Saccharomyces cerevisiae S288C: one gene and its partner. The gene in region 2 interacts genetically with the main gene of each other region. Each region holds a gene or a part of one and is shown on either strand. Other genes may lie near its edges. The genes, in order: RIE1 and PTP3.

Region 1 (11,123 bases), on a different chromosome or scaffold from region 2:
ATCCTGAGACGCGAAGTAGCCGTGCCGCCACTTGGGTGCACGAGGAATTCCATCCTCACGTCTCATTGCTTTATTCGGATATTCATCCGGTAAGTCAGGCGTCATTGCGAGTAGTTCAACAAAGAATTGAAGATGCTCTAGACGTGCAACTAGTTCCAAGAGAGAAACGTAAGGGTTCCGGAAACGCTGATGGGTCCAATGAAGTGCAAATGAGATGGGATTTTGACGTATCTTCATCGCTATCTTGGAATATCCCAGGAACGTTTAAAGTGGTCAACTGTGTGGGGCCCGTTCAAGAATGGGAGGTATTGGGACGGGTGGACGTTTAAGCATACATTTATGTGCACTGTAAGTAATTATATAGAATTTTTTTTTTTTTTTTTTTTTTCATATCTGTCAATACTTGAAAATGTTCTAGTTAGAGATTTACGTATACTGATCGCTTGCCTTCGCAAGGGATGGAAATCCCTTGAAAATTAAAAAAATCCCCCCCTAAGCAGCGAAAATTGTAAGATCCATAATATTTAAGAAATGACGAAGAACGTAGTCTTATCGCAGCAGTTTTCCAAACAAAGAATGCCATTCATCAAATAATCCACAACCACCTCAAGAAAAATGGTGAAATTACAAAGGTTTAGCGAAAAGAAAAGCCTCATACACGAATTCGGCAAGTTTATCCTTGAAAAGCAAGAATCGGCGTTAACGGGCGACGCTGATGCAGTGTTCAATATCGCCATCAGTGGAGGATCGATGAACCAAGCGCTGTACGAAAGTTTGGTAAATGACAAAAACATTTTTCCACATATTAAGTGGCCACAATGGAGAATCTTCTTCTGTGACGAAAGATTGGTTCCATTTGAGGATCCGCAAAGTAACTATGGTCAGTTCAAAAAAACAGTTTTGGACCCGCTAGTGCATCAGGGCAACCAATTGAACTTAGGCCCCACTGTATACACTATCAACGAATCATTAATCGGTGGCGGTGAAACGGCCAATAGAAAGATTGCCGAAGAATACGCTTCCATGCTGCCTGCATCATTCGACCTAATCTTACTCGGATGCGGAGAAGATGGACATACATGCTCGTTGTTTCCCGGGGTTGAATTTAATTACCTTGTAGAAGAGATGGACCGCAAGGTTTTATGGTGTAATAATTCGCCCAAGGCACCCAAGGACAGGATCACCTTTACATTAGCAGTAGTAGCCGAGGCTAAAAGTGTGTGCTTTCTCGTTAGGGGAGCTGCTAAAAAGGCTATCATGCATGACGTGTTAATCGTAAAAAATAGCGAACTACCTAGTGTGCTGGTTAATGAAATGGTCGGAACCAAAGTAACTTGGTTTCTCGACGACGAAGCTGGCGCCTTGATTCCTGAAAACTGCTAATTACACTCGTCTTTATACGAAACTGGCTCCGTTAATCACGACAGACAACCTTAATTACATTACATAATAATAAATAAATGACAACTGTCTTCTTTACAGCGTATGTTGGAGCTTACTCCCGAAGCATAAACCCAGTTCTTCTAGAAGAATTGACAGCAGAAAGGAAAGGGGTACCGAAGGCAAACTCAACCTTAAAAGTTCCGTAAGCAACCGAGCCTCCGCGAAGGTTGCATAACTTAAAAGAAAAACATAGCTCACCCGGTGATACCGTTACAACGCGTTAATCTTAATGCTATGACTCGGAACCACCTGCAAAACAGCGCTAACGGAAATTTCCATGGAAATAGAATAAGGGACGCAGCAGGGTTTTTTTTTTTGGCGAGCACACGAAATATAAAATTGCTTCGGGCCAGCTGCATGGAAGGGTTAATTTCGCCCCTTTATCGCAAGCTACGCAGTTCTCCTGGCTCGAGAATGAATCTGGCCCGCCGCAGACGTTTCCTGGCCCCAGATTAGGAAGCAGCGGCGGCGGAACGGAAGGTGCTCTAAGCAAAATAAGGAATATTAGCCACGCCGGTAATTCCCCTCCTTTGGTCTGCCCCTGGTCTGCCCCTTTCGTTTTTTATTTTTTTTTGGGTGAACGGAATACTCCGTGGGCGGCACAAGGAGAGCCTGCGTAGGAATCTGTGCGTCTCAGTCGGGCGGGCCGATTTAGCACCGATGGTTCGCTTTGGCTTGGGCTTACGGTGACTGCGAGATTTGCAGATTAGTGCATATCCGCGCCTTTGTATGACGTGAAGCGATCCGCCCTGAACAACTTGTTACGTATATGATGTTGACTCTGCGCCCCCGTCTCTCTGGTTGCTGCCTTCTGCGCTGATTTGGTGCAATCTTTCTTTTTTGTCTTTGAAAGATTTAAGCTTTTTTTCGAGAAGAAAAAGGAGGAACCGAAAAAATAATCTTTCAGTTGTTGACCCGTAGAGCAGAAAATGGAAGGCAGTAGATATCCATATCGAAGGAAAAGCACAAACTTATCACGTTTAGGGTATTCATTAACGTTGAAGTAATCAGGTAGTGAATAGCTCGAAGTTTTCCATGCTTTCCTTTCGGTTGCATCTTTCTTCCTTTGGGGTTTTATCTTGATACGTCGTTACTTACCTTTTTTTCCAATATATATATATTGGTAGTAGCTGATCATTGCAGAAGATCTAGATCTCCTTTACACGCTTTAAGGTTAGGCAGCTGTAACCCCTATATTGAATTTTCACCCACGCCATAAAATACAATAGCTCAGAGAACCGGTGGCCACATGCAACCTAAAACTTTCGTCCACCAACTTCATGCAATTCTTCTGGAACCGGAAGTAAATAAATGGATATACTGGTCTCCGACTGATAACACGGTATTTTTTTTGAAGCCATATGACCCTAATTTTAGTACACATGTTCTGAAGCGTTATTTCAAACATGGAAATGTCAATAGTTTTGTTCGTCAACTACACATGTACGGGTTTCATAAACTATCTCATCCTTCCCCAGACCAATCTTCTGCCAACAATGGTAACGTTAAAGAACTTGTTGAATGGAAATTTACCCACCCATCTGGATTCTTCTTCAAAGAGGCCAACGCCGGTATCTTGAATAAAATCCAAAGAAAGAGCACTGGTGTGGGAAAAGATGGTAAAAGAAAGAATATACTGTCACCAATATCTGTCAGTTACGTTGATGCTTCGAGGTTAAATGTTCTCTCTCAGCAATCCGGACCAGTTTCTGCAAGAGAACCATCAAACATGTTTATGGGCAGTCCCGTCCATTACTCAACATCCCAAAGTCCTCCACATATCAGTATACCGCAACAGCAACAAAGTAGTGGACCTTACCTAATATCTTCACTGCCCCCTCAACAACCCACGGTGAACATGATGCGAAGGCAAAGCATCTCGGCGAGGATGATGAATTCTTATGACTATCCCAATCAATTTTCCACCCAAGATAGCATAGTCCAGCCTCAGCAGCCGCAACAAGTACTTTCTCCACAAGCATTATCTGGACCTCCGATGAAGAAATCAGGAACACTATCTTCGACAGATGATCTGAAAACAACTTCCTTGCCAATTGTTAATTACCCAATGCCGTATCATCCTGGAGCTTTTGCCCAGCAGCAGCAGCAGCAGCAGCAACCGCTCCCTACAGTCCCGCCATATAGCAGTTACTCCACTCCATTTCCCTCAATGATGAACTCTCTTTCGAACTCTGCTTCTAACTCACCTGCTTTAGGAGTTTGTAATAATAATGTAACACTACCCAAAAAAAGCAATATAAGTGAAAGGCAAGCTTTGGATAACCATATACAAACTTTAAAGAACTCTCTATCAACAATCACTGATTTGATAGAAAAACATATTAACAGCGCATCGCAAGATGAAAATAAAACTCTAACTAATGATGCCATGAACAAAGACCTTCGAACAAGCTTATCCCTATTACAGAATTCCAAGGAGGAAATCATTCAACTTGAAAGTAAATGGATGTCTATGCAATCTGTTAAAACAACTGCCCTACCCCTTCAAGAGACTACGAATACATCATCGACCTTAACTTCTCTGACGTCCAGCATAATTCCCAAGAGTATACCTATAATCACGAAAGGTGAAGTCGCCACTAAACCAGCATCTTACTGAATTATTTTCAACAGAACACATCGCATCCAACTGAACAAACTGTTACCGCTGTTGATACCAAGGAACATTCAGTGAACGTAGGGAAGAACGAACATTCTCCATATTTTTGCATACTAGATACAAGGGGGAAGAATGCAATTATTTCACAAACCGAAAGAAAAAGAATCACAAGCTATGTTTGCTATTATCAATTTTTCTTATGATTAATTTAACATAAATTATGGCCTTTTTCATTCCGGCTGCGCTTGTTCTCCAATTTTTTTTTTTTTTTTGAGAAAACTTTAAAAATTTCAAATGTAAGAAAGTAGAGCAGATCTTTTAGCAAGGATCCGCTTAACATTCCAACAAAAAAGGAAAAATAAAACAATAATTTCGTTCCCCATCTATCCTTCGCCTCTCCTTCGCTCTGTAATTTTTTTTACTCGCGCGCTTCCGACTTTTGAAAGAAGGAGCAATAAAGTTAAATAAATGTAATTAAATTATGCTTTTTTAGGCAAGTTCGGGACTTTGTTGCCACGTATTGCTCTTCTATGCAAGCACTTCACTCCTTTTCTTTCATCTCTGTTTTCTTCCACTGGCTGGAAGCTTGAGGGTTGCCTCTTGATTCTTTATCGCCTGCAACCATTGCCTTGTTCCGTCCTCTCAAGGCGTTCCTTCCGTGCTTTTTAAATACTAGAATCATTCGAGACGTATTTATGAGCATGTTACTTCTTGATGTTTATCTAAGAGGGTTGTTTAGGTTATCCGCATTATTTTTAAAGTTTTAAGGTTACATCATTTATTCAGACGCGTTCGGAGGAGAGTGCATTCACCAAGATGTAAATTTCTTCAGTTTTCCGGATTAGGATTGGAAAAATGAAGAAAAATAGCTGCAGAAGAGCCGAAAATAGGTCAGAAAAAAAAAAAGACAGGCAAAATAGGTGTAAGCGTTAAATGCCTATTGCCTGCTGTACTAGCTAGCTAAAGTAATTGTAGCAGTTGTTATTAAGGAGTTCTTTAAATCATATTGCTTGCTTGTATCAGACCATTGGAAACTTCAATGTTTAAACTCTAGAAAGGTTGATCTGCTCAAATATTTTCATATTTACGGCATGTCCTAACTTGAACATTTGTAGAAGAGAGACATATTTCTTAGTGTAGGCAAGATATTTGAATGACATTGTCTGCCGAAATATACTCGACTTGCAGTGGAACTGCAAGTCGAAAAGGATATCGCTTTAGCCAAACAAAAATTTGTTGTGCTATTCAGTGAGCATGCATTGGCTATAGAGGCCGCACCTAAATTGTATCTTTTGATTTATGTAACTGCCACACTTTCTCTAGCACAGTCATGATACGGCTTTTTTTCATTTAGCCACCAAATACTGTAAATATCGTTTTAGAACGTTATGAAAAAATGCTCATCCACTTAAAAACCTCTCCGTATTCTGAAAGTTGGTATAATCTTGCACTTTAAGTGTATATCTTTTTATGCAATCTTTTTGAATAATGAGTGTTTTTCAAAATTTTGACATTCATGTGAATTGTTTATCTATCCTTTGCATAGTAAAAAAATAGATGCAGAATTTACTCACCTCAAGGAGGGGCAAAGTAATAAGAAAAGTTACCATAGGCTAGTTGAATGTCCAAGATCGTAAAGAATGAAGAAAAAAGGAGTAAAAAGTATGAATAAGATAAATGAAAATATAAAAATAAAAACCAACTAATACATGAAGAAAAAAAAGCAGACAAAAACATTTTATGGACCTGATGCAATCTAGTAGTCCATAGAATAATCACCACTAGAAAATTCTTCCTCTTCATTACTACCGTTTGCCATTATAGGAATATGATTTGCTGCAGGATTCTGCGGAGGTATTATATAGGGCACTGGCGGCACCTGTGGAATAAACCCAAATGATGGGAACATTGGCATCATCCAGTTAGCGTTATTTTGGTTTGCACTTATTAAGTTGTAACTGTTCACGGGCTTTGTGTTGGTATTAGGGTACTGCAGTGGTATGAAATAATTTTCCCTCGAGACTTGCTGTTGCGATTGGTTCTGAGTCATCAAGGCATTGATAAATTTCTTATTATACTTTGTTGGATAAGCCTTATGATAATCATTATGTGGCTGAAAATTTTGGAACTTTGATGAGTTATCAGTTTGGGATTGATCATCATCATCACTTGAAGATAAATTACCACGTTTCTGAGCGAAAGAAACAGATAACACTTGATCTTTGCTCACTTGATACCCGTCTGTATTCAAAATTGCCTTAGCAGCATCTAATGGGCTTTCAAAAGAAACAAAACCATAACCTCTTGATGATCCCACTGGCAGATCATTATCTGATGAGCTATCATTCGATTGTTGACGATACTTGTTCTTACTACCCCCAACAGTAATGACCTTAACGCTGATTATTTCACCGAAAGATTTGTAGAAATCATATAAATCTTCATCTGTCCAAGAAAGAGGGATGTGCTTGACATATAGGTTTGATTCTTGCTGATTACTCATTGGTATAGGTAAGCTGTAAGAAGTTGATGGGTACTGGTACATGTCAAACTTGTTGCCCATGAATCTAGGCACACGTTGACCACGACCTTCACTGAAAGATTCCCTTTGAGGATAGAACAGATCCATTTTCTCTGCCACAGGGGTTGATCTTACAGAATCAAAATACCGTACATTGGAGGTATCGTTGCTGTTCCCGTTTTTATTATTGTTGAAGTAATATCTATCATATGTATAATTATTGTAATCATACATTGGGTTATTTGCAAATTCCAAAACCTCCATATCATTGTGGTTACTGATGGAAGGGTGCCTGTCATGGCTATTGTGGTTGTTGTAAACTTTATGTTGAACCGCCTTATTAACAACGAGCCTGTTTCCATGCCACATGAACCCATTGAAGGTCTCGATGGCTGCTAGTGCTTGTTCATGGTTGATAAGCTTGATGAAACCATAACCCTTCAACATATCTTCATCTTGGGCATTTCCATTAGTATTATTGGAAGATTTGTTTGATTCTACTGACCCCTCCTCATTGAAACTTACTGAACTACTGCTTCTTGTATTACTTCTCTTCGGAAAGTAATATGAAATGATATCAAAGTCCGGAAACTTTTTTGATAACTCCTTCTTGATTACTTCTATGACTTCTTTAGGTGTAATCAAAGTCTCTACTTTTTCAGGATTGTGATAAGGCAAGTTGCCTATAAAGAGACACCTGAAATTATCATCATTGTTGTTTTCTTTGACATGGTCCCAATGGATTCTTTCTCTCTCCTTTCGCTCAACGTGATAGTTGATAAATAGTGTGGAGCCATTTACCGTCCTTCCATTAAGTTCCTTGATGCAAAGTGAAGCTTGAGAACCCAAGGGGTAGGAGATGAACCCGTATCCGTTAGGTTCGCCTTTCGTTTTATCATATATCAATTTCATTGATAAAATTGGTCCATATTTTGAAAATAAGAAACTTAGTTCACCAATAGAAAGGCTCTTTGCTATTCCCCCGACAAAAATATTTCCAGGATAGGTTAGTGCATGCTTGTTCACACCGATAGACCATTTATCAATATGCTGACCAATAGGTTCGCTCTTGAGTAATTCCGAGATATCTGTACATGCATTTTCTAATGACTTGGGGTACTTGAATTGTGCTTGCAAAACGGTATCGTATCTCCAATCATCTTCCTCTTCGTTATCTTTGTAAGATTTCTCATACTCTTGACTTCCATGCTCGTAAAGATAGATGTCTTTATTTTGTTCGAGAACCTGTAACCTCCTTGTATCCGGAAGAAATTCATATGTTTCTGTATCAGAGTTGTTAACGGAGATACCTTTGTAGTGCTGTATTGTGTCCATTATTTGATCGGTTATTCTAGAGTTGCAGTGATCATCTTCTTCTTCTTGTAACTGCCATTTTATTCTTATGGTTAATAAATTTGTGTTGGCCAATTGTTCCAGTTGAAGACCAGTGGAAGTTTTCCTTTCAATTTTTATTGATTGGTCTCCAGCTTCTGCGCTCGCTGATGTCTGCTGGCTGCAGATATCTGTATCCTCGGGGCCACTAGATATTACTTCATCTGATGGTTCTTCTGCAATATTCATCCTCGAAACTTCTGATGCGGTTTGTCTTTCACGTATAATGTTTTTAGTAAAATAAAACTTATGGTTTATTTTTGGATTTTTAATCAGGGTGCCTTGTAATTTGGGATGTGTGCTATGCTTTACTTGTTCACACTTTTTTTGAGACCGTTGAACGAACTAAAATTAAGAACACTCTAATCCTTCGAACAAAAGGCACTTTTCAACTATTATTTACTTATTCAATATTTAAGGGAAGTTTCTTTATTGTGCTTGACATATATATATGTATTTATTTATATAGCGCAGTGGCCAAGAAAATGTTAACGTGAAATAACGACTAACGGGCAGGCGTTATGCACGGAAAGAGATCTACTAAATTCCGCCCAATAGGGAATCTCCGACTGAATTTTTTTGCCCTTTGGTCAACTATTCCCGGGAAGGGCATAAATTGAATCAAGCGCCAATTTTACGTCTTCGGCTAGTAATCGGATCAGCGGGAGAAACATCGTACGTACACAAGAGAATACCGAGAGTGTCGATTAATCAACCACGCTCCATGAGGCTTATCCGCATTCTACTTGCATGTTAGCCGGGAAAAGACATAAATCATCTCAATTCTCTAGAATACTCTAGAGATTATGTAAAAGCGTAGCCCCGTAGATGATTAAATAATTTTCGGTTTCTTACCCCGTAACCACGAGTTGCGGTGTTTTTGCTTCTATCGGGGCAATAAGCGGGCGCTGCTTCTCGGGAATGTAAAAACTGTGCTTCCTACCATGAAGTAGTTGGATCTTGAAATGGGTTGGGCCGGAACAATATGCAAGTACTACAATCCTTGTATTCCCATATGATTATATTCCCCTTTGCATAGGCTAGTGTTTTTTTTTTCGTTCTTTTGTTTCTTCCGCTAGGAATAGTAGTGGCGATCTGCAGAAAGACGCTCTAAGGAAAAAGAGAGAATTTCGATCAGTCCCGTACACATTACTCTTGGGAAGTTCAATTCCTTCGGACGTAATCCACATACGAACTTGGCTCTCATCTGTTGTCTTCAAGCTGTTGCGGCCCTCCTCTTTCTCTCTGTTGTACACATTTTTTGACTTTCAAAAATATGCCGCTAAGGAAACATAACCCTTGTGTATGTGAGCTTGTAGCATATGATATAGTGCTCATTGGCATGTGACAAGAATTGCGTATGTAATTGAAGTTTGTAGTGTAATTTACGAAAATAGCCGCCCTTCTTCTTCATTAACGATTATTGAGCGTAATGATATAAGATACAACGGTTTATTTAGGGCTGCATCCATGAAAATACTTTGTAATAGTGAGTCGTCGCCTTGTTTGTTTATTCAATACAATGCAGTGTCTCTATAGTCTCCTCCTTTAGTTTCACTATCTTTTCTAACCGCCGAAGATATACGAGTGTTCTGAACGAAAAACGACCTTTTCAAACATAGAATATAATTGTATATATACATATACATATATGATACGCAGCCACATTCGTAGTATCTTTAAGACACTGCCTTTCAAAAAAGCTTTGGTATTTTGAAAGAAGATCGAAGCCAAGGAACCAGGACTACAATGAATTAGACGCTACAAAGTTTCTTAATTGGAAAACAAGGAGGGACAAGGAGGAGACTTTTACAGTAAACCAGAATGCTCCTTCACTGTTCAGTTATGTAATGTTATTGTTTGGAAGATCTGAAGAGAGGCATTTCCTACAACCTCTTGAATAAAATAGTGGAAGGCATTTACACAAAGAAGCCGTGCCACTTTGGTCCGGATTTTTTTTACCTAAAATCGTCTTAAATTGGCCTGTTCGATAGCTGTCATTTGTTTTAGATATTTATTTCCTAACGTCAGCTTTAGTTACAGTATGTATGTATCAACCTTTTAGTAAGACAATAATGATTGCATGTTTGATCCTGCTTTAAAGGCATTGGAAGTAACCGTAGTGGCCGCTGTTTCTTCTTGACGGCCTGTAATTGACCTGCGACGCGGGCAATTTCTAGCGATGAGATTGGAAAAACTAACGCATAAAAAAGATTTCAAGATTTATAAGATGTTGAAACAAATCCTCTTCTCACATCTACAGTTGATACAGTATACCGTATTATCTTTCCTCGGTAGTGTTCAGAATGAGTAGGGCCAAAGAATTACAAGAGAAGCTCAACTTGCAAGCGAAACTCCAGTCTACTTTCAGTAACAATACTGCTGCAGTTTTGGACTGGCTGAAAGAATCAGATGAAACCGGCATTAGCAATGATACAGAGCGTAACAAACAGTTAAAAGATCACAAGGAGTTGGAGGATGGTAAGAAGGCATTTTTCAAGCTTCCCGTTTTGCAGATTGGATCGGGCCTACACTTCCGCACACAAGATGACGCTTCCGCCAAAGAAGATATACATACGATTGGTGAGTTTATTGAGGGTGATAAAAAGGTAAGTTCGTTGGCAAAGAAAAAGAAAAGAAGTGACCCAGGGTTGCAACGAAATAATATGTACAGGATCACTAAAGATGATACGAAAGCCATGATTGCGCTTAAAAGAAAAATGAGGAAAGGCGAGAAGGAAGGACTAAGGAAGAAACAAGAGCATAGCAAAAGCAGCGTTTCGAACTCATATAGTGCCAGTGATGAAGAGGATGAAGATGCAGGGACAATGCCGCAAAAGTCCACAAAAAAAAAATTTGGTTTACTTTTTGATAAAAAAAAGAAGGCACGTAAATAATCTTAAACACTTATGGGCAGCAAAAAATGCGTCTTTCTTCCCTCGTCTGTTGTTTTATGTAGGGCGTAATGATGTTTGCTTGTCAACAAATGAATACGTACAGAAGAGAATTCTAGCCAAGGCAATTATTGCATACTGCAAGTACTGAGTACGTTAACGTTGCTAGAATAACATTAAATGAGATGTAGCAATGCAGATCCTTCCTCAGTAGGCTTAATGCTCCACTAGAATTTTTGACCAGCCACTATTT
Region 2 (11,123 bases):
GTTAGCAGAATTTTTCTTATGAGAATTGCGTCATCATCATCATCATCATCATCATCACAAGCAGCAGCAGTAACAGCAATATTACTATTGTTATTGTTATTATTATTGTTGTCATTATCATTATCATTATCAGTACTATAGTTACTACTATTTCCCTGAACACCAGCTGAATATAAACTACTATTTTGTGTTCCCATAGTATTTTTCCTCATGCTAGTAGTGCTAGGCATCTTTAATATTTTTTTTTCTAACAATTTAACGTGAATACCGTTATAATTACCTTCTTGCCAATATCGATAACATTTCTCAATGCCATTTTCGAAATCATTTGTCAATGAGAGAACCAACGGAACGCCATTATTCAATATGCATGTATAAAAGTCATGTACAGTGGAGGGCATTGGAGCTTGCGTCGCTATATAGCGCACTCTTCTTGTTGTGGTTGTAGTTGTTTGAAATGACGAATTTTGCTCTACAGAAAACCTTGGCAGAGACAAATAGTTTGCGTTGATATAATTGTCGAGGATGCCACCATCGGAAGTAGAATGTGAATGCTTGATACCTTTTGATGATTGCAAACCTTTTTTTAGAATCACTCTCGAATGCTCGTAGGGAAAAATATCCTTGTACCTGTTCTTGGCTCCTAATTCAACGCCTGATGATATTATAACGTCATCTGACTCCGAATCGGAATCTGATTCAAGGCTGAGCATCGATTTATATTTACTGTATTGAGTGAAGATTGGCTGAGAATGCGACCTCTTTTGTACTTTGTTCACGTCAGGAAATTTTGGAGGCATGATTGTTGAAGAAGAAGTTGATGTTAACTGTTCAGGATATGATGATGGCTTTTCAAGTATAAACGAGTTTTCCTTCTTCCTGAAAGAGACAGAATGGTTCAAGCGCCTTTTTTCCAAAAAATCTAATTTTTGAAACTGAGAAACCAACTCGATCTTGGGTATTGACATCAGATGCTGGAACCATTCAGGTATAACGGAGTCAATGACCTCCTTTTCGTAATTTTTGCTCAGGTTTTCGTATCTGATCTGAAACCCTAGTTTGTCTTTATTAGTGTCCTTTTCTAGAGAATTTTGGTTCTTTGGGAATTGGAAGTTTTGTAAAGATTTTTTGGCAGAATCGTTATTATACCATCTTTCATGTTCTTCTTTGATGTTGACTGCACTCAAATACGTCTCTAAACCCATTATTTCTTCATTTTGCGAAAATTTGAACATTTGGTTTATGTTTGTTTGTGGTGCAGGCAGCTGGAACTTAAATAAGGCAGATATGGGGGAAGAAGAAGACATGGGAGAATCTGATAGGACGTTACGCGGAGAGGGAGAACTGGAAAAGTTTGAATGATCTGACCTACTATCGTCAGGAACTTTCAACTTAAGGTTCATTTGCGGAGACGATAGTGGTGTTGTCGCCGTCATATGCGGCGCTGTGTTGTGTAGACTGTTCATAAGGTTTGTCTTGGGGCTTTTAGGTTCAGCCGAACTAATGCAATCTGAGTTAAATGTGTTGGTGTTTATATGGTCTGGAAATAGAATTTTGAATTGAGGAAAACCACACATTAGTATAGACACGGTTTTTTTAACATTAGTATCAAACTCTATTAGCTTGGACGCTATTCCATAACAAGGTAAAGAAACAGAACTTTCCGTTTGATTTGCGGTGCTATCATAAATGATAATCCGAAGGTTATCGATGGCCAGTTTAGATTTCAACACGCTTTGCTCGCTAGGAGTTAAGTTGTCCAAGAGTTTGGAAAAGGTGAAATTTTTCCTCCTCAGCAGCGTGGAAGGCAAACATACATGAATGGAGTTTGTGATAATGGATTTGGCATGTTCGGTAAACGGCCTAACATCAAGTAAGAGCACCTTTTCATCTGGTAAGGTTTCAATAATCTTGCCCAGTTCTACAGCAGTAATTAGCGAACAACCCTGCGGCTTATTATATCGCTGTTCCTTGGGCTTGAAGCTTGGCAGGACAGGAGCGGTCGCCCTCTTCAATAACACCGGCGAAGATGTCTTATAGCTCACCAAAGGGCTACTGGCTTTGGGGCTGTGGTATATGTTGCTGTTCATGCTGTTATGATAACTGTTCATAGGAGCATGCCTCGAATATACATGCGAACTCGATCCGACCAAAGTGCTAGTCTCGGAAAGCACTGAAGTGCGGTCGGTGGGTAGAATGCTTGGGCAGTCTACACTGTCCTTCATGTTCTATATGATAAGTAGATCTGTGTTGCTGATGGAGAAGGGAGATACAATACGGATTTTCTATGAACTTTGCAGTGATAAGAGCACCTACGCTATTATAACACCGATGTTAGAATAATATGCAAGTTTGTGGTCTGTGTATACAGTTCTTTGTTTGTGCTTGAAGTGATGATGTTACATGTCAAAGAAAGAAAACCGCTAAGGTCAATGAAAATATAGTGTTACATCCGCCGGTGCAAATGGCGAGGAGAAGATTGGACTCTTGCGCATCGAACACTACCTATCTGCATCCATCCATGCCAGGTGCGCAAACTGTTGGGTCTGGCTAACACCACATTCTCGCTGCGCTGTGTTCTCCGATGACGTTTTGCCGCAAAATATTTTTTTCATGAAGGTCTTTTCTTTTCGTTCAGCGTCAGCGGGCCCAAATCTCAAAGTCGCCGCCATTCTGTTTAATGTTTAAAGTTTCCGCTCACTACACCAAGATGGCAGCAGGAGATGCCAGAAAAAGCGTGGGGTCTGGTCTGGTTAGATATTAGAAGTACATACACATCGGTGGGTGTGTAGCAGTGGCGACACATAAAATGGCCATAATGGGGGTGATTTTACGTATAGCATACATAGACATCTGTCGTTGAGGTTCGCTACCAGTGAACGGATTTAACGAGCAAGCAGCGAAAGTAGCCGAAAACCTCTTATTGTTAATAGTCATTTAGCAGCCGTTCTGCTGCTGTTTTCCTGTGGGGTGAGGTGGGCTGTGATTCGGTAAACTCGCTTGCGGTCTAACAAAAACAGAGAAAAACTTGGTACAAAAAGATTTCATTGGACGCAACCGGAATCGAACCGATGACCTCTTCCTTGCAAGGGAAGCGCGCTACCAACTGCGCCATGTGCCCAGAATTTCTGTATGTGTTGGATCTCAACACGGGGTACCTCCGTATAAGCAATTTTAACCCGTAGATGATTTTAGAGTTTCGTTCCTACACGCATGAAAAAGGTAAGATTGAGTATGCCTAAGATGAACCAATCAAAGTTATAAATACCTGAAGAAATGAGTTTAGATCTGTTGGATGGTGAAACATAAAAAACAGAATGAGGAATAATCGTAATATTTTTATGTAGAAATATCAAGTCCATTGTAAGGATTCTAATATCCTCGAGGAGAACTTCTAGTATATTCTGTATACATAATATTATTGCCTTTATCAACAACGGAATCCCAACAATCATCTCAAAGTTCACCAAAAGTCTCAAGATCCGACTTAAATCTTATATAATATGTAGAATTGCCTGCAAAAGTGTACGATTTTACAATAAAAAACGTCGAATTAGCTTTTCGCATACGTCTCAACCAAGAGGAGAGCGGTAAAAATTATGGGAAACTCAATCGTTAACCTTGCGCCTGATCAAAACAATCATTAATAGCCATATTATTTTTATCAACTTCTGGACAGTCAATACTCCAGGGATAATAATGGGACCAAGCATCATTGGCAACTACTCTCAGCTCGGCACGCCAAGAATCACCGTGGCTATAGGTAACACAAAACGCTGTCTTGCCGTGATTGTGCATACTGGATACTGAAACACGAACTGCACATGTTAAATTTCCTTCAGAGGCTGTAATATCACAGCTACTGTTTGTTGACCACGTCTTGACAAACAAACTCCAACCCTCTTGCCCATCAAAAAAGATATTCGTGAACTCCTGGCTGCCGCAAAACTTCTTGTCACCGCTCCCGTGAACGGCCCATGCTACCCATTGCGCTATGTAGCTGTTCAAATTAGTCGTAAGAGTTGTGGAAGAGACGGCCCTATTGTACAACCTAGACCAAGTTCTTACCTCCACTCCGTAAAACTTGGCTCTACAGAGGGTAGATTCACCTGTTTCCTGGTTGCGGTTGTATTGCAGGTCTGCTGGTGTTTCCACAGAACCATCGACGGCTACATTAATGGCATTACTGATACTTATTGCCGTGACGTCATTTTGAAGTTGCTCGACGAGACTATGCTGAGTGAAGTTGGCTGCTTGGGTAGTTATATTACTGATAATGTTAGGGTATTCAGTAGCATCACGCTTGTTGAAGGACTCAGGTACAGTACCATTTGCAGTTAATCCTATCGTCTGGTAAAATTCAACCATAGAAACTGGAGCGATTGCCAAATCATCGTCCATTTGCCAGAATCCTGATGGCAAGCCCTGGCTTTCACCGCCCGTCAGGTAGATCTCAGCACGTGTGCATGCGCATAACAATAAGATCGCATAAAAAAATGAGACGGTATAGTATCCTGAGGTCATTTTTCTCCCTTGGATTGATTGCTTGCTTTTGTATCTTTCTTATAATAGTTCTTTCAGAAGAGCCCAATATGCGGTTATTATATAAGTTAAGTTACGGCTATGTGAAGATTTTGAATAATGTAAAACTGTTAGAAAGCATTGCCTCTTGTATAAGATGTGGTCGCATTACTTCAGTTAATGACTTGAACCAGTTTGTTTTTCAATCCACGGCTGTATTCTTCACTAATAAAACCGATTAGCGGGAGTCAGGGAAATAGAAAGAATATTTGCAAATGGAGCACCATTTTAGAATTAATTTTTTTTCAGTGCTCACAGGTTGATGATAATGACAAAATATTTTGTTCTTTAGAATTATTTACATATTGTTTAGAGATGAACGATTATTCACACTTATTACTATATTGGTTTAAAATGGTTAACAGTTTGCTCGAGATATCAACACAATCTAGTCTTACATAAAACTTTCTTTTTTGTCCCTGGAAATCTGGCGCAAACCCTTTTTCATAGGATTGACTTAAAATAGTTGAAGAGCGATTTCTCTTGCAAAAAAAGGTGCTAACCCTTCTTACTTTGGTTTATTTTCGTGTTGGAACAAGTAGTACAAAAATATACAGGCGAGTTGATATAATAACATTATGTGCGTTCTCATCGTATACTTAGGCACATCTCTTATACGCTTATATATAATTGCAACAGTAACAGAATAATGAAACTGTTAAAAGCAATATGTAGACAATGACGCAATTGAGTTACAGATCCAATATATACGTGGAAAATATGAGTTGTTACACTGAACATGTTATATTTACCTGACATACCACTATATTGTACTGATGATACTTAAGACGTGCCAATTGCGCGTGTTATATGAACCTCTCCTTCATAGTATAGGAAGATGTACTTTCATTCTTAATTAACACCACCTTTGAATAATTTATCATCAGTAACTTTCAATTAACAAAAAAAATAGGAAAAAAATTTGAAAAAACCTCAAAACTATGTACATATTGAAAGGAGTAAATAATCAATTTTTACTTAAAACTTGTCATAGCTGGTTTCAAGTATCAGCTCGGCCAAGTCCTCCATGATGCGCTCTTCACTGGTACTTGTATTTTCGCTATCACCCTTCCTTCTTGAGTTGCCTTCAATGTCCGCTAAATCTTCCAGTAATATTTGCTTCAGCCTCAAAAGGTGCCTTCTGGCAAGAAACTTCTTTCTTTCCGTGCCTTTTAAACTGGCTATTTCCTCACTGTCCAGTGACGGAAGCTTGATTCTCTCGGTTAAAACCTTGACTAAACGAATTCCCTCCAACGTAACAAACCGCTTGTCTTCTATGCTCGCTTTAAATTCCTTCCCGAACTCACCATTCAATAAAGATTTCAAGTATTCATCTAGTATACTTTTCAGTTCCACTGTAGACACTTTATCATTCATGTTCAGATTTTTAACGATAGGAAACAGGAACTTCCATGAATTAAACCTGTAAACTTTGCCGTTCAACTTTGATGAGTATGTGGCCTCTACGCTATCTATAAACCCCCGAATCTTGTGCAAAGTAGCTTCAGCATTTGATGCATCTTTGTTTATAACGGCCTTGAGACTTTGTCTTTGGAATGCGTTGTACACCAAAATTAACGTCCTCCTGGTTATTGAGATTTGTGCCGACGAGGCTACCCGTTCATAAATGTCCAGACACTCGTCGCCGCAAGTGATGGGCCTCGTTGTTATGACAGTTTCCATGTATTTGTGGTATATGCTCTGATCTAACATTTGGTTGTTCTGTGCCTCTAATGTCTTAAATATTTCCATAGCAAGATCATATTCCTTGTTTTTCAAACAGTAATTCATAAACAATCCCACAACATGTTTGTTGAGAGGAAATGGCTTATTGATGTTCCAATGACTTAGTGGAACTAACGTAGGAAAATCGCTTTGTGTCAAATACTTCTTGAAAATGGTCTTATCAAATTGAAAATATTCACAGAGGGCCCATAGTCCCATTCCTTGCTTCTCAATCTTTGGTGACTTCTGGCTACATATTACTTCACAGTACTCAAATAACAATTTAGAATCGACACAATAGTCTGGTATTTTATTCATCAAATCATTGAGTACCACCATAAAACGTTTCTCATCGGCAATCCTGGTACAAGATCTTATCATTAAGGTATATGTAATACTATCCTTTTTCAAACCTGGGCACTTTTTATTAAGAAGTTTGAACACTAGTGTTTCATCGGTACAATTTATCAGTGCCGCCAAAGCGGTATTATATTCTATTTCCGTGAGCTCATTTTTGTCACACAAACTATCTATAGTCTTCAAAACAAGTTCTCCGTATTTTTTTGAGACCAAATTTTCTTGTTTTGAGAGCCCATTAAAGAGGATTGTGATGGAATGTTGATCAATAGGGACTCCCCATTTTTTTCGCCAATTGAAGATATCTACAGCACTTTGTTGGGACTGCACAACTTCGATATAATATTTCATAATCAAATTCATCCCAACGACGCCTTTCTTTTTAGCTAGCCTAGCCAAAAAGACAGCTTTTTCCAGTTGTCCTCTTTTCAAAAATTTTTGAACATCATTGGCGATTAATTTGGAATCACGTAACTGTTCTCCATTGACGCCTAGTATGGTATAAAAGAGTCTCTTATCTTTGGTTAAGGATAGGAACTTCAAGTCGCTTTGGCTAGTTGGCCCCAGTTTTGTATCTGCTAATGCCTCATTATTTATTTTATGAAATTTTCGAAGAATATGAAAAGCTTGATCCTTGGGGTATGCTGTCTTTTGCAGTTTTTTCAATTGTCTTCTTTTCTTAGAATTTATCCTTTCCAATTGTTTGGATGTTTTATTTAATATGAAACCGTGACGTTCTAGCTCATGTAGTCTTTCTTTTACTTGAGTTTTCTGTAGATTTGTCAGTGAATGAAAAGATCTTCTCAGCAGATGCTCTGTGAGATTAATTGCAGTGTTTATTCGGGGTAGCATTCTAGTAAATATACAAGTGTCTACACCTATTCTTGAAGACTGCGATGACTTTGAGGATGATTGATTCAGATCCTTGGTTCTCAGCTGTCCTTTTGTAATTTTTAGACCCATCTTTATTTTGCCGTAACTAAAAATAAAAACTAAAGAGCAGTGCCCAAGAAGAAGAGGAAAAAAACAAAAAGAAAGCTGAAGAAAAGTATCTCAAGATATTTTCAGTAAATTTTTTTTTTTTTGAATTTTCCGTTTAATATTAAAAGACCTTAAATCGATAAGTTATGTATCTGTATATACAGGGTGTACTCAATTTAGCAATAACATTACAGTGGTGCCACTTGGTCCTCCTCGAATTTTGTAGATAAGCCATTTTGCATGACATTTTCTAAATCGTCAATTTCTTTCACTGCTTCAACAGTTAAATTAGTGTAAGTATCTTCACCAATGGCTATGTCATCTTCAATTCTTATTCCGACGTTTCTAAAGTAAGATGGAAATGATTCCTCGTTAGGAATATATAAACCCGGTTCAATAGTAATAACTTGTCCAACCTTTAATGGTTCGTACCTGGAAACTTTAGGCACATCGTGAACATCTAGACCTAAATTGTGTCCAATATAGTGCGGATACAATTTTTCAACATTCCAACCGGAGACTTTATCTATGCCCAAGTTTTTCAATTCCTGTTTCATGAGTGTGATACTCTTTTCATGGATGTCGTGGAGGGAATAGTTATTGCTAGCTTTACATAACTTAATGCAATCACGCTGAACATTTAATACAGCTTCGTAGAGATCTCTTTGTGCATCAGTGAATTTCCCACTATTGGGCCACGTTCTCGAAATATCAGCACAATAACCACCCAAGGAGCCAGCAGCGTCTACAAGAACCATTTCGTCGTCAAACATCACATCATCGTTTCTTGTGTAATGGATACACAAAGAATTCGAACCAGTAGCGACCACGGGGATATATGCGTCCTTATCGCAACCACCGGATATAAACTTGTAATGAAGAAAGGAATCTAAAGTTCTCTCATTCCTAAATCTTTTAGCAAAGGCTTGATTGAACGATCTTCCTGATATTTGGCCAGCTCTCCTCATAATTCTCAACTCTTGAGGGGACTTGATCTTACGGAACTCTGCAATTCTTTTACTGATGGGTTTGATGGTCTTATTCGCAATGGAATTCAATGATCGATTGCTATTCCCACTGCCATCTAACAGGCTCTTGATGTGTTTAAAATTGGACGAACTGGGATTAGAAGTTGATAGCATATCAAAATAGATGAAATCATTCCTGTTAATTATTTTGGGCAAATATTTAGACAAATCGTTAATGGAAGCAGATTCATCGGCATTGAAAATTTCTTGAACACCATAAACCCCAGACCTAAATCCTTCCCACTTTTCAGCAAACGCATCCTTTGGCGGAACCAGCATGTGGAAAATTGTATCACTTAAACTATCCGTTGGCTTTTCTAAAATCATGACCGAATTAGGTTCATTCCAACCACTAAGATAAAACAGGTCATTTTCCTGTTGGAACGGATAAAATACTGCTCCAGATGCAAATTGGATATCGTTACCAGCTAAAATCACACAACTTTTGGGAGGCAATGTTTCCGCCAACCTAATTCTTCTTTCATAGTATTCCAAGGCTGAAATGCCTGGTGTCAACTCGCCCGACTTTATAAGGAACGGCCTTGTCTCATGCAGTGGTTGGCCTGCCTCAATGGGGATTCTGACTCTATTAGTAAAAGTATTACTTTTATGCTGTTCCAATGGCGATACCAACTTCGAGAAGTATCTTTGGCAAGATTGCATAGAAAACCGTACTGGGTTTATCCTATGTAACATATCAACAGAAAATGACCACTTTTCCTATTAGCTTTTTCTATTATATTCTTTAGAATTGGTGGAGTTTCTTGCGCAAACGATCCACTTTTGCAGTGCAGTAAGTGATCCCTATACCAGGTGAGTTGATATATATTTACTGTATCTTGTACTATTTTATGAACAAGAAAGGCTATTACTCACAACAGTTTTGGTTTCAGTCAAAGTTTATGTGTGAGTGTGAGTGTGAATGTGTGCGTGTTGCATAATTGCATTTGGCCTTTCCGAGAAATAAGTCATTCTTTATTTTTCTCTCTTTACGGTTTAATGGTGCGGCTTTCGTATCTGCGTCTCATCCTTCCCCCTTGCCGCTTGTCAGAACTCTCTAGCTTGGCGATTCTCTATCAACCTGTTATTCCAATTCTTATATCTACCATTACCTTCCAGCATTTTTTCAAATGTGTTCACACGCCCTGTAACGTTTATATATAAATATTTTAATATTTAACTTAGCTTATGCATATATAGTTAAAAGGGATAATAACAATAAGAATAAAAAACACAAACTGCTGAGATAAGAAAAGGAAGCGAATAGTTAATAATGCCTGATTCATCACATTCAATAAGCTCAAAAGATGTTGCATCTGCCATCTCTCTCTATGATCAGTCCATTTACACTAATAACAGGTCTACTAACCTGGACTTAGATCAGAGATCAATGAGCCCTTCCAATATTGCCTCTGGTGAAGATAGGATAACGAGAACGAACTCAGGTTGCTCCATCACATCAGGTGCCTCCATGATTGCCACGAAGGATGGTATTCAGGGGATTAATGTCAAAAGAGATGGGATTCCGAAATATTCACTTAATTTATTGAATTCCATGGTTCGAAAACAATATGATCACAATAATGGAACAAAGTCTCCTACCCCGAAGACTAGCAATATGGTAGACCCTAAGAACAAAAAGAAGAACAAAAAAAAGAAGAATGACAAGGATGACAAATACAAGGTATCGCATGATCAAACCGAAAAGTTTTACAAACTCAACACCACTTCCAACTCCAATCTCACCTCTGATTCTACTACTTCGTTATCGGACCAGTTTTATTTCCAGAAAAGTAACGCTGATTCTGCTCCATTAGACAATGCAAATTACCCACTCTCCGACCATTCCCCCTCCCTAAACTCTATGGATAATACTACAAAGCATAGCAGCAATGTGCACACTTGAATCACGTGAACCACAGTAACCTAATTGCTCAAATTTTGAGAGTTAAAGGAAAGAATAAAATATATAAATGATACGTTTATACCCGCTAAAAAAAAAAAATATAAAACAAAAAAAGGATCTCATAAGACGATTTGTTGGGATATGTCCACATCTTTCGGCTATATACTACATTTAGCTGTTTCCCGTTTCTTTGTATTATTCCCTTCTTATGTATAACTTTTACTAGTAATAATTATAATAAATATTCGTTTTGAAACATGGTAATTTCAAATGTTCAATGTATTTTCGGGCCGATTGCTGACCAGCGACACTTTAAGCCGAACTGTATTTAGTAGACTCCCTTTTCTCATCAGCGAAGAAGAAGTAGCAAAAGCTGTTTAGCAAGCAAGACAGCAATACGAAGACCAAGCATGATTAGGTACACTGTTGCTGGCCATTCCAGAAGGTGTGTAGTAGGAGCTTCGAAAAGAGTGGGTGCAATTAAATGTATCACCGTCGCCGCCACCAAGAGATTTATCTCCAATAAGCCAAACGAAGTTTTTACC

What was found.
Region 1: mutations in PTP3 (region 2) and RIE1 together harm fitness more than expected from each alone (negative genetic interaction), as found in Saccharomyces cerevisiae (2 studies listed by BioGRID).

Annotation. Positions count from the first base shown.
Region 1 is NC_001139.9:985,357-996,479, forward strand, and holds RIE1 (Rie1p), read right to left. Parts: upstream 8,166-11,123; coding exon 5,820-8,165; downstream 1-5,819. Other genes in the region: CPD1 (2',3'-cyclic-nucleotide 3'-phosphodiesterase), read left to right, coding at 1-329; 6-phosphogluconolactonase SOL4, read left to right, coding at 616-1,383; MGA1 (Mga1p), read left to right, coding at 2,693-4,063; NOP19 (Nop19p), read left to right, coding at 10,283-10,873.
Region 2 is NC_001137.3:308,975-320,097, forward strand, and holds the start of PTP3 (tyrosine protein phosphatase PTP3), read right to left. Parts: upstream 2,226-11,123; coding exon 1-2,225. Other genes in the region: YER076C (uncharacterized protein), read right to left, coding at 3,616-4,524; MRX1 (Mrx1p), read right to left, coding at 5,560-7,626; ICP55 (aminopeptidase), read right to left, coding at 7,833-9,368; YER078W-A (uncharacterized protein), read left to right, coding at 9,672-9,836; YER079W (uncharacterized protein), read left to right, coding at 9,946-10,578; AIM9 (Aim9p), read left to right, coding at 10,989-11,123. UniProt on the Saccharomyces cerevisiae protein: Major phosphatase responsible for tyrosine dephosphorylation of MAP kinases FUS3 and HOG1 to inactivate their activity; it also has important roles, along with MSG5, in the inactivation of FUS3 following pheromone stimulation.